Daphnia pulex: one gene and its partner. The protein of the gene in region 1 purifies or fractionates together with the protein of each later gene. This does not show direct contact. Links are inferred from orthologs where the notes say so. Each region holds a gene or a part of one and is shown in the gene's direction. Other genes may lie near its edges.

Evidence for each region. The genes of interacting proteins can lie anywhere in the genome.
Region 2: the proteins of uncharacterized protein LOC124201900 (region 1) and heat shock protein 60A-like purify together in Homo sapiens (affinity purification with mass spectrometry, with the first as the bait; 3 studies listed by BioGRID). This does not show direct contact. The link is inferred for Daphnia pulex from reciprocal best matches to the Homo sapiens genes AMBRA1 and HSPD1.

What each region holds. Positions count from the first base shown.
Region 1 is NC_060025.1:57,833-63,995, reverse strand, and holds the start of uncharacterized protein LOC124201900, read left to right. Parts: upstream 1-2,581; 5' UTR 2,582-2,739; intron 2,740-2,935; 5' UTR 2,936-2,967; coding exon 2,968-3,192; intron 3,193-3,260; coding exon 3,261-3,319; intron 3,320-3,388; coding exon 3,389-3,572; intron 3,573-3,647; coding exon 3,648-3,829; intron 3,830-3,898; coding exon 3,899-4,106; intron 4,107-4,171; coding exon 4,172-5,175; intron 5,176-5,236; coding exon 5,237-5,340; intron 5,341-5,424; coding exon 5,425-5,723; intron 5,724-5,788; coding exon 5,789-6,087; intron 6,088-6,151; coding exon 6,152-6,163. Other genes in the region: uncharacterized protein LOC124201901, read left to right, coding at 1-45, 108-436. UniProt on the Homo sapiens protein: Substrate-recognition component of a DCX (DDB1-CUL4-X-box) E3 ubiquitin-protein ligase complex involved in cell cycle control and autophagy.
Region 2 is NC_060021.1:6,595,244-6,601,611, reverse strand, and holds heat shock protein 60A-like, read left to right. Parts: upstream 1-2,616; 5' UTR 2,617-2,722; intron 2,723-2,908; coding exon 2,909-3,076; intron 3,077-3,144; coding exon 3,145-3,480; intron 3,481-3,538; coding exon 3,539-3,897; intron 3,898-3,957; coding exon 3,958-4,303; intron 4,304-4,361; coding exon 4,362-4,883; 3' UTR 4,884-5,037; downstream 5,038-6,368. Other genes in the region: protein scarlet-like, read left to right, coding at 1-182, 255-390, 463-568, 636-903; 10 kDa heat shock protein, mitochondrial-like, read right to left, coding at 1,635-1,775, 1,839-2,000, 2,059-2,061; elongation factor 1-beta-like, read left to right, coding at 5,856-5,935, 6,053-6,272, 6,331-6,368. UniProt on the Homo sapiens protein: Chaperonin implicated in mitochondrial protein import and macromolecular assembly. Together with Hsp10, facilitates the correct folding of imported proteins.

The sequences.
Region 1 (6,163 bases):
TCGACACGACGAAAGCCGTGGCCATCCACCACGAAAGGACATTGGGTAATTTCTCGTAATTTTATTGGATTGAATTTTCGTTTGGAATGATTTGATTCGCTTGCCAGTGGAAGAAAGACGTCGCCCGGATGAGACGGCCTCGATCAATTGGACGGAATTGATGGCCAATGGCGAGCTGGACCAACGGGCGAAACGGGCCCTGTTTCTCAACTTGGTCAATGCGCAGCAAGCCAAAGCCGAAGAAAACATACGTAGTAGCATTCATTCATCATTTATTGCTGCGGCATTTAATTACGATTATTGGATTGATTTTGGCATCGATCAAACAGGGAGGAGGAAGGATTTTTTCAAAGTCCTTGTCGCCGCTACATCGGCCGCCTCGATCAATGAACGCACCGATATTACCAATCATTCGGCCCAGAACGATGTTGAATAGTCGACGACCACCAGTTTCATGACTGCCAATCAAACGGCACGGACTTTGTCTTTTCCTGACGCATGTGTACCAAGTACAGAGAACTTGTCATCTAACAAAACATTACAGACGAATAAACGTTTCATCGTTTACTGTAGTCACTTATTAGACGTTGCTTAATTATTATTATCATTAGGCTGACACGATTTATACACTAACGTAGTTGGAAAAATATACTAGCATTTATTACTCTGCATCAAAAAAAGGATGCCCGTTTGTTCGATACATTTTTCAGATCCTTGGCTGATTTGAAATTGGAACCATTTTCCTTGGTTGTTTTAATTTTTGTTAATAGATGGCGTCGATCGGCTACTCATTTCAAAATCAAAACAAACCTTATGTCATGTTGGCTGTCGTGATTCTGGTTAATTTCTTCGCAAAATGGTAATATTTTTCATCCTTCCAAGTAAAATCTTGTTGGTGTCTTACAGTCTATCGAGTGTTGTTGACTCAGTGAACAATCAAAATAGAGCTGAGCTTGTTGCTTGTCATTATGCAAAGATTCTTATTTGGTTAGGGGAAAATATACTACAATTGATGCATAATTTGCACATGGTGCTCAGTAACATAGTATTTCTTTTCAATTATTTCTTAAGCAAAATTAAGGTCACTCCTGTCTATCCTACAGGTTACTCAGGAATACAATTCGTGTTTACAAAACGTTCAGCTAGCTAACTTGAATCGTGGTTTACGAATGAAAAACCTGCAATTTTTCAGAATGGTCTGTTTAGAAAATTTGTTTCTGGCAATTTGCAAGCTACTTAATATTTATCTTTTTCATCAAATTGGAAACCCCACTAGAAATGAAAACCACATTTTCTTTTGACATCTGATTAACCAGCCAAATAGAGGCCATTGTCAGCAGTTTTAATTTAGGTAAAACAAAGTATTCATTTATCTTGAGTCCTATACCTTGCGAAACTTTTGATACCATTTTGTAGGTTGTTTTATTGAGCGTCATCCCTCAGCCAAATATTAATATATATTGTCTCGACATTGACGCCCATTTCTGGAAACAAAGGCTGATAAACAAAGTTGGAATCAACAGTTGGAACAGAAATGGCGCAATAAAAACCCGACGTAAGTACGCAGATGTGAATTATTGATTCAACTATATCGTGAATACAGCAGTAGAAACATTCGAGCTGCAGAAACTTTGCCTAATTTTGCCATTTATTATAGATGATACGTTTAGTACGCCTTGGAAGTTGTTGCACTGATTTTAGTCAACATTGATGATGTATTGTGCCGGGGTGTGTTACCTGAAAAATCACAAACTATCCACTCGTCGATCCGAGTGTAGCGCGTGCGATGTTTGCGGTTTCCTTCCATTCCGATTCAACAAATAAGTTTCCTGGTTTGCCATTTTGTTGTTTCTCATCTTTCGTTTCGTATAATTTGTATTCTTTTGCGCTTTAGCACGTGCAGATGTAGACGAAATGATTTGGTGAATATAAGAAATGAAGAAACACCGCGTTATTCAATTTCTTGATTGGATTTCCTCAAAAGTGGTTACATAACCTCATTTTCGAACGTGTCACGTGCCTCCTATAGATCGCAATTCTTGTTTCCTTGACGCCTCCTTTTGTTCCTGGCCGTCACGTGCATTGCATGTGCAGCTTCAGCGGGGATTTCCCCTCTGCGTTTGGTCCTTGTCTGTAACGCAGACGTGTGGGAGGTTCACGCTCTATTATTAGACCCGATTATATTGACTCTCATATGCATTTTTTTTTGTACCTCCTGTTAGTTTTATTTGGGGTTTTACAAACTAATTTAGACGCAACTGTTGGACATCCCGTCATAGTTAATATCACAAAGATGTTTTTATTCCATTTTTTAAAACTGAAACGCTGCCCGTGTTTCTTATCCTGTTCAATGGGCTAAAACAACATCGTCATTCGTAGTAATTCATTCATTATTCTGTTAGGTGTAATAATTGTTTCGTGACTCTTGTAGCGAAAAGAAACTTTTCAGACCACATTTGCTGAGACGATGACTTGGAAAGATGTAGCAGCACCCGGAGCACTCCATAATTGCCATAATTTAAAAAAATCAAGTTTCAAATCATTCCAAAGTTCTTTAGGCGAGATCTGAGTAGGAGTGTGTTGTTTGACCGCCAGATGACCGTCGTATCTGTCTTGCCAAAATCTTTTATTGGCCAAATTTGTCGACTTCGATTCTTATTATTAACTGAAAGTTTTGATTTCTTCTTGCTTTTTATGTTGTACTCATCGACGTGTTCATTGTGTTTAGATCAATTCATGGTATGGCAAGACTTTGATCTTGATTTCACATTTTTTCCTCTTCACCAGAGGCTAAGGATTAGAAGTTTAGAACCCCATTGTTTCCCTTAAGAATTTTGGTTCCAACTATTTTTGACTTCCTGCATTTGGTTACCAAGGGCACAATTCTTCAGTCAGAGTTAAACTGATGAATATATTTCTGAATTGATTTTTACAGGGTTAAAGGACTTGGTTTCCCTTTCTGTGCAAATGGACAGTTTTCCTTTGCCTGTCTTCAACATCGAGTCAGAAGATGAAGAAGATCATGAAGTTATTGAAGTTCAGCAAGATGTCAAAAACCCCAGGCGTGAACACTTGCACAAATTGTTGAATGACAGGAGCCTTTCGCTACCGACTCACAACCAAAATACCATTCTCAAGAAGCTTGAAGCCATTGCTGAAGAAAATCTTTTGAAAAAGGATCTGAGAGAAACAGTAATTGTTTACTTAATGTTATTCTAAATGTTGCCTTTAAACTAAAATTTCTTATCCCTTTTATACAGTGTTGTACTTTGCCAGGGAATCCAAGATCTACATTTCTTATGGTCTTCAGTCCGGATGGGTAAGTAAATTGACAAATGTCTACCTCAAGAGAGAGACTAAAATCATCATTCTGTCACCCTTTTTTCAGTTCCAAGGTTGCTTCATCACATGGTGATCACAACATCAATGTGACTGACCTAAGGACTAATAAATGCATCTCCACTTTGACTGGACATCCCCGTACCCCTTGGTGCATTGCTTTCCATCCTCATCGCAATGACATTCTGGCATCAGGATGCCTTGGAGGGCAAGTTCGTGTTTGGGATTTGTCTGTAAGGTTTTTTTATTCTTTAAAATGAAGCCACTTTTCCTTTGTTCATGAGAACTGTTCTTTACCATCCACCTAGGGTGGGAGTGAAATGTGGTCAGTGACAGCCACAGAAGTGACCACAGTGATTGCTTCGCTTTGCTTTCACCCAAGTGAGAGGCTTCTTGTCATAGCCACCAACAGCACCTTGTATTTCTGGGATTGGAATATTCCCCAACCCTTTGCCAAATGTAGTACAGCCAATGAGAAGCAGAAACTCAGGTATTTTCTTCACAAGTCTCATTATTCATCACTAATTCAATGAATATAACTTCCCCTTTGTTTGTTTAGATATGTCAGTTTTGACCCTTTGGGTAACTTGTTACTCACTGGAATATCCAACACTTTTGGCACATCTGCCTTTGTGTCCGGTGCAAGTTCGTCTCTCTCAAGTGGTCCTTCGACATTAGGAGGCCCTGCTCAAGTCCCGAATCCTATACCTTACCGACTCGAGCGCAATGAACAAGAACGTGAACGCAACCTTCAAAGTCGTTATCAGGTGAGTGTCATTGGTTTCTTTACAGCTGGTTCATCACTTGACGTTTCAATCATTTTTTCGCTTAGACATTACTCGACCAGTACGAAAGACTACGAGTTCGTTATCAGGAACTTCGCCATCGCGCTGCAGAACTGGAACTTAACGCCTCCGGTTCTAGTCAGAGTACTGGACCCTCAGCAGCAACAACTTCCGTTCATATCAATAGCGAGGTTCCTCTTCCTCCACCATCTGCTACTGTCGCTCCAACTCCTTCTACCGTTTCTTTTGCTCCCCTTGTTGAACCGTCCACTAGTAACAGCAGCCGGACGAGTCCTCCTCCCCCTCCGCCCGCTCCCACCCCTTCCGTTGAAGCGTCTCTATTGAGCGCCTCTTCGTCCAGCGACAGGTTCTGGCGCACGCTCATGAACGCGGCCGAGAACCTGCGAGCCCTCAGCAATATCGGTCGCACTCTAAACACCAATCAATCGCAGTCGTCTGGAACGGGAGATCAAGGCTCGTCCAGGCCAAGTGGAGCTTCGCTGGATCAAGATGCCCGGATGAGGATTCAGCTCCTCAGTCGACACATTGAGAATATGCAGCGCATTTGCCGTTCTCACCTGGAAATGACTCGGCACCGGCGTCAAGTCTATCGACTCCAGCAAATCCGGCGCATCCTGGAGGATCTTAGGGAACAAATTCGTTACCTTCAAGTTTGCGTCAGAGACAGTCTTGACCTTGTCTCTCGACTGCGGACGAATCCCGTCACTCCAACTGGAACGAGCGGCCCGTCCTCATCGATTGACCGCCCAAACTCTAGTCAACGTCAATCTACTGATGCCCTCGCTGCTAATCGTGAAACAGGAGGGACAGCCGGGAGCAGCAACAGCGGCCCTATCCTTGAAAGCGATCTCCAGTTTAACAGCAGCGGGCGAATGGTCCTGGGATCACGAGCTTATTCGCCCGTTCAGTGCCGCCGATTCGCCAATTATTTGTTTGGCCGTTTGCGTCGAATTGGACTCCAACATCACCGCGATGAACCGAGACTCAGACGCAATTTTGTTGCCGGAAGAGACACCAGATATCCCATCCGGTAAAATTCTATTGAAATTAGCTGTGGCTTCAATTTATTCCATTTTGTTGGGTTTTTACAGGCGATTGAGTCTTTATCAGAGTGCTCCTAGTTCGCCCCCAGTCAATCCGGTTGAACAAATTGACCCGCAGCCGGGAACTTCTCGTGATTATTCCATGGAAATTGGTGGGTGTTGTAAACGTTATTACCTATTAGAACTTGAAAATTTTATTCTAATTTCTTGTGTTGTTTCTTTTAAATTTTGTCAAGATTTGGCATTCAATGAAGTGATGCCGAGTTTGGATCGTGGATCGAGTCATTCGGTTGGCTGGAGAAGATCTCGGTTCTCTCGGATGACTCGTCGCAACAACTCACACATCTCGCCCAGGAGCAACTCGCTACTTCACGCCCGCCATTTGGGAATCCAGAGAAGAAAACCTTCACTGCTTAACCGCATTTTCCACGGGCGTAATCTTCAAAACCAAATGAGATCCCTGTCGACTCACCATTCGACATCGGAAGCCACTGCTCCAGTCAATCTGGAAACTGGACAACGTTCCGGCGATCAGGTAACATTCTCTGATTATAATGAAATTGTCGTGGATTAATTTGTTATTTTTGCCATTTTTTCCAGTCACTTCGTCCTTTGATGGAGCGTCTAGAGTCGCATTTCCGACTTCAGCGTCAGACAATGGGCATATTGGCCCAGCTGAACGAAGCCGCTGTAGCCAACGGCATTGGCAATCCAACTAACGATGGTTCCACGGCCGCTGGAGAAAGTTTGATCGACGGCGGTGGTGCGTCCACGGCCAGTTTTAGTGATAGCAGCGTATCATCCCGTGGCGGGCCGTGGGCCTCTAATGTCCTGCACAGCATCCGCCATTGGCGAGCCAGAAGAGATGCCTTTGAAAGAGCTCGTTCTTTCGAGTCCAGGTAAATTTAGTTTCGTTGTATGACTTCCTGACAAGTGAAATATTCTCACTTTTATTCGAAACAGATTATCCTCGGG
Region 2 (6,368 bases), on another chromosome or scaffold:
GAGATCAAAAGACGATTCAAAATATCCAAGGCGCTTTATTCATCTTGACGACTGAAAACACCTTTCCGGCTCTTTACGGGGCGCTTGGTATTTTCCCGATGGAATGGCCGCTGTTCTTGAGAGATGCAAGAGGAGGACTCTATTCACCCTCTGCTTACTATCTCTCCAAAGTGGTGGCTTTGGTAAGTCATCGCCATTTTTATTCAAAGGAAAACGTTTTTTTTTTCTCACGTTTCTTTTTTCTAATAATGCAGATTCCAGGATACGTAGTCGAAACTTTTGTTTTTGTTTCGATTGCTTACTGGCTGATGGGATTGAAGCCGGAAGCCGGAGCTTTCCTTTATTCTTGCTGGGTTCTAATCGTTACTTGCAATACTGCCGCCGCTTGTGGTTAGTCATCTTCCATTGTTTCCTGCCTTTTTAATTACAGTTTATAATGAACACGATTATGAAATCCATTAGGAACGTTCTTCTCAGCAGCGTGTGAATCTATTGCAGTGGCCATAAGTTTCCTCATTCCATTTGACTACATTCTTTTCATCACTGGTGGTGTGCTCATTAGTCTCAGGTATTGCGAATCATCGTTTCATAATTAAGGGGGCTCGTCTAATTAAAACCATGTGCATTGTTGACAGCTCACTGCCGGAATACGTCTCGTGGACCAAGTATCTTTCCTGGTTCCTCTACACAAATGAAGCTCTTTCTGCTGTACAGTGGCAAAATGTTACATCCATTAAATGCGATGAGTCAAATTTCCCTTGCCTACATAATGGCCAAGAAGTCATGAAACACTTCAGTTTTGATTCTAGTCGTTTTTCAGTAGATATTACTAGCATGCTATTTATTTATTGCACTTTTCATTTGCTTGGTCTGATGGCCATAGTCAGGCGTTCACGATCCTAATTTTCCTTCACGAATTTAATATACTCAAATAAATATACAAACTAACAAGAGTAGATCTTTCATTATATTACTCTCTCGTTGAAGTCCACATGAAATTTACTACACACCGCATACAATTCACAAACTTATTATTCGTTGCGTTTCCATATACATTCTAGTTAGACTTTGGACAAATCATTCCCATCCTAATGTACATTCACCTTGAACCCTCAAAACCTTTTAGTTTCTCCTTTATTATCAAGTTATTAATTACACTCAACCCTTGGTGTCTCGCCTAGTTTGGTCTCACGCTCCGAAGTTTACCTGGATTACGAGGATCGCCTGCCATTTTATACCGGTAACGCAAAGCGATCCAAATGATGCGAGTAACTTTTCATTTCTTGAAAATGCCTATCTCCGATCCAGTTAGTCTTTTTGGATACGCACACGCAATCCAACGAAATCAGAGACAATCCATTTATTACTAATAATCTGGATCATATTATTGAAATGTTTTCCCTGTTATAGAAATGGTAACAACAAACTCGAGGTTAAATTTTATGTTGTTCCCTGAAAACAAGATAAATATAGACTAAATTGTCTTTGATTAGAAGTAATGAAATGCAAAGGAATTTAACAAAAGTGGATTTTTTATTCTCCTAAACTGCACATGATATAATGACTACCATACAAAATCTGACGCCCAAATATTCCCATTCATTCAATTTAACAGGGAAAAGGATTTATATCAATTATTGTTCAATCTTGGCCAACAAATCACTCTCACGGAATAGGTGGTATTCTTTGTCTTCAATTTCAACTTTTGTGCCACCATATTCGGGAAGCAAAACATTATCACCAACCTTCACAGCAAGGGGAACTAAATCTCCTTTCTACGATAACAAAAACAAATCATTAGACAATTTAACAATGGTTGTTATCAAAATTTACCGTACATCTGTTCGAGATCCTGGTCCAACTGCAACGACTGTGCCTTTCAGAACTTTTTGTTGAGCCTTCTCGGGAATAACAATTCCACCTCGTGTTTTAGTCAAGGCCTCGGCCCTTTCGATCAAAACACGATCGAACATTGGGATAAATCGTTTCAGTGCGCCTGCCTAAAGAAACAATATTGATAAATTAACTATAAAAACAGGCAACTGAAAAACTGTTTACCATTGTAATTTTTGTTGATGGGTGAGTGTAAAAACTACGTGTTTCTCGTCAACCGGCAAGACTAGCTCTGGCGAAGTTAACGTGAAGTAAAGAAAATGAGCGTCTGCTGGAAGCTTACATAAGCCACGTGGTTCTAGAATGTTCCAACAATGTTCGATATATCAAAACTGCTTCATGGGTTGTGTTTTAATTGCTTTTGAATTTTTTAAAAGTCAATTCAACTATGATAAATTTTTTTCCTTATACCAGCAAGTACTTGAAACTAGCATTGATGCATATTTTTTTACTTTTATTAGATTGTTCTAGAACAAAGGAACTGGTTTTTCTCTGGTTTTTCTATGCGCATCGGCGGCACATTCTATTTTCACGAATAAATGCGGTTAACCGACCTTCATTTAATGTTGTGTTCACATAAATAGATTATTTCTTCCATTAAAAAATACATTTTTTTCAAACTAAATATTATTTTAATTTTTTATTGCAACATGCACTTTAAATGGGTGATCATATGGTGGTGAATCGGTGATCTCGAAGTTTCCGCAAGCACATTTTTATTTAGGCTAAGCGCACGCTCGTCTTCTGTTTCACATTCAGTCTTACTATCGTCGGCAAGCGTTGCACGTGGGAACTACTCAGCTACATTAAAGTTTAATTCACCTAAAAAGTAAGTTTTGGACGTTAATTATCATCTGTTAAAATTAGTAGATGTCAATAGTCAGTTCCTCAGTGTTACCGGCTTAAAATATGGATTATTTAAGTCTTTTTTTCTGTTAAAAGTTACCAGTACATAGCGTTAGCAGCGTGTTATCCATTATCTAACAGATCTGTAACTTTTTTTATTACTTTAGAGATGTATCGCCTACCAAGTCTTCTGAGAACAGCAGCTCTTCGCCAGATCGCTCCTCAAGCATACAGAAATTATGCTAAAGATGTTCGATTTGGAGCTGATGTACGAGCCTTAATGTTGCAGGGAGTAGATGTTCTTGCTGATGCAGTTGCTGTAACCATGGGTCCCAAGGTAATTTCAAAATTAGATTTGCACTTCAATTCGGACTACCACTTACAATTTGTTGCTTCTATTTACAGGGACGTAATGTTATTCTAGAACAATCATGGGGCTCACCTAAAATCACTAAGGATGGTGTTACTGTAGCAAAGGGTATCGAATTGAAAGACAAATTCCAAAACATTGGGGCCAAGTTAGTTCAAGACGTAGCAAATAATACAAATGAATCTGCTGGTGACGGAACAACTGCTGCAACAGTCTTGGCTCGCTCCATTGCTAAGGAAGGATTTGAAAAGATAACAAAAGGTGCCAATCCTGTTGAAGTTCGTCGTGGTGTCATGCTTGCTGTTGATGCTGTTATTGAAAACTTGAGAGCCATGTCCAAACAGGTTACTACTCCAGAAGAAATTGCTCAGGTAACTAATGAGACAATTCATTTTTGAATTAATGTTAACTGGAATTCCTTTCGTTCAGGTTGCTACCATTTCTGCTAATGGTGATGAATCAGTTGGTAAACTGATTTCTCAAGCAATGAACAAAGTTGGACGAGAGGGAGTCATTACTGTCAAAGATGGAAAAACTTTGATTGATGAACTTGAAGTCATCGAAGGCATGAAATTCGACCGTGGTTACATTTCACCCTACTTTATTAACACAGCAAAGGGCGCTAAAGTAGAATATCAAGATGCGTTGGTCTTGTTGAGTGAGAAGAAGATTTCTTCCATTCAATCCATCATTCCTGCTTTGGAACTCGCCAATCAACACCGCAAACCCCTAGTCATTATTGCGGAAGACATCGATGGCGAAGCTCTTAGCACTCTTGTTGTTAACAGGTAAAAGTTTCTTACCTACATTTTTTAAAGAAATTGTAAATTAACGAAAGTGTTTTTCAGACTGAAGATTGGACTCCAGGTAGTTGCAGTTAAAGCCCCAGGATTTGGCGACAACCGCAAAAATACGCTTCACGATATGGCCAATGCTACAGGTGGCTTGGTCTTTGGTGATGAAGCAAATCTCGTCAAGCTCGAAGATATTCAGCTGCACGACTTTGGTCAGGTTGGAGAAGTGGTTGTTACTAAAGACGACACTCTGTTGTTGAGAGGTAAAGGCCGCAAAGAAGACATCGCCCAGCGTGTTACCCAAATCAAGGATCAAATTGCCGAAACAACATCAGAATACGAAAAGGAGAAGCTGCAGGAAAGGTTAGCCAAACTCGCCTCTGGAGTTGCTGTCCTTAAGGTATAATATTCTCTCAATAAAGCTCCACGGGTCATTTTCTAATGTTTTAATTCTTTAGATTGGTGGATCAAGCGAAGTTGAAGTGAACGAGAAAAAGGATCGTGTTAACGATGCACTCTGCGCCACCCGAGCTGCCGTTGAGGAGGGTATCGTTCCTGGTGGCGGAACTGCTCTACTTCGCTGTATTCCTATTTTGGACAAGCTGTCCTATGCAAATGAAGATCAAAAAGTTGGCATCGACATTATTCGTCGCGCTTTGAGGATGCCTTGCATGACTATTGCTAAAAACGCTGGAGTTGATGCTTCCGTCGTCGTCTCTAAAGTTATGGACTCTGAAGCTTCCATTGGTTATGATGCCCTCCGAAATGAGTACGTCAACATGATTGAACGCGGTATTATTGACCCTACTAAAGTTGTCCGAACATCTCTTACTGATGCCGCTGGAGTTGCATCCCTCCTCACAACAGCAGAATGTGTTGTTTGTGAAATCCCCAAAGAAGAGAAGGCCGATGGCGGCATGGGAGGAATGGGCGGAATGGGAGGCATGGGTGGTATGGGAGGTATGGGCGGAATGATGTAACGTCCCAAATCCAAGTCAATTTCTGTTCCAACCTTTCATGTTACTTACCTTCTTGATTGTAGTGGTGTTGTCAAGTTGTATAGCGGTAATTTTGGAGATTTTCATTCCTCTTGTTTGACATCCCAGTTTATGTAATCATGTTACTGCTGTTCAATCTTGAGTCATTCATCGATCTGGAAGGCACAATTATCAGCTCTACAGCGTAGTATTGGACACGTATGAATCACTCGTGATAGGAGACACTACTGTCGTTTTTTTTTCGTAGTAAATCATTATAAAGTCTTACTTTCTAAAAAAAAAAAAAAAAATACATGAACAGTTTTTTGTAAAACCTTCTATGTTTTTGAAAGAGAAGGAAGGTAAAGGGTATAGTTTGGGTTGAATCATCTGGAATTCATCGATAAAAAATTGCTAAATAAATTGCAATGAACGTAAAAGTTAACAACTGACGTTTATTCGGTTAAATTTTGAAACAAATTACATAAAATATTTCTAGTGTAGTTGGATAAAATAACCAATCTCAGGACAAGGACTTTACTAACAAATGGTCGTTTTTCAATTAAAATAAAACAAGCCCTTCCTAAAGGGTATCATAAAATGACCTTAAGAATTCAGATTAAAATTGATGCAGTCATTAAGTTTTGCGCAAGCACAACGAATTGAAAATGCACATTGCTCATAGAAAATATGATTTCATTCCAAATCAGTAATGAAATTTCTGAATTAAAAATTAATTGTTATAGCTTTAAAAGTGCATTAAACTTTAACGTGTCCTTGAATTTTCCCGTAAAAATTCGCATTTCCCTTCCCTTTTACTGCCTGGGGGATTTAGGACGACGGTGGACAAACGAACTAAAATATTTAGCTATCTGGCAACACGTAACCGTCTCTCTTTGGTGTCTGCCATTGCCGAATCGCGTGTCAATTTCTACCCTCAGTCGGTTTCTTCCTTTCAGACCTGATAAAATAATCATGGCTTTCGGCGATCTTAAAACTGAAAATGGTGTTAAGGCCCTTAACGAATTCCTAGCCGATAGAAGTTACATTGAAGGGTAAGTTTTTCACTTTATTTTAAGTATGTGTTGCCGGGTACAATAGAACTGTTTCTTGAGCATGCTTTCCGTTTCGTTATATCTAAAAATATGTCGATGTTATATTCTTGTGTATAGATATGAACCGTCTCAGGCGGACGTGACCACCTTCCAAGCTTTAGGAAAGGCCCCTGCCAGCAGCTTCCCACATGCTCTCCGCTGGTACAACCACATTAAATCATTTGGGTCTGAAACCAGCAAATTCCCAGGTGCCAAATCTGCTGCTGCAGCCCCAGCCAGCAAACCAGCCGATGATGATGATGATGATGTTGACTTGTTTGGATCTGATGACGAAGAGGTACTAACCATAGGCAAATCCCTCAGTTAATGAGTATTAACAGAAATTTCCGCTGTAGGATGAGGCTGCTGAGAAGATCAAGGCAGAAAGAATTAA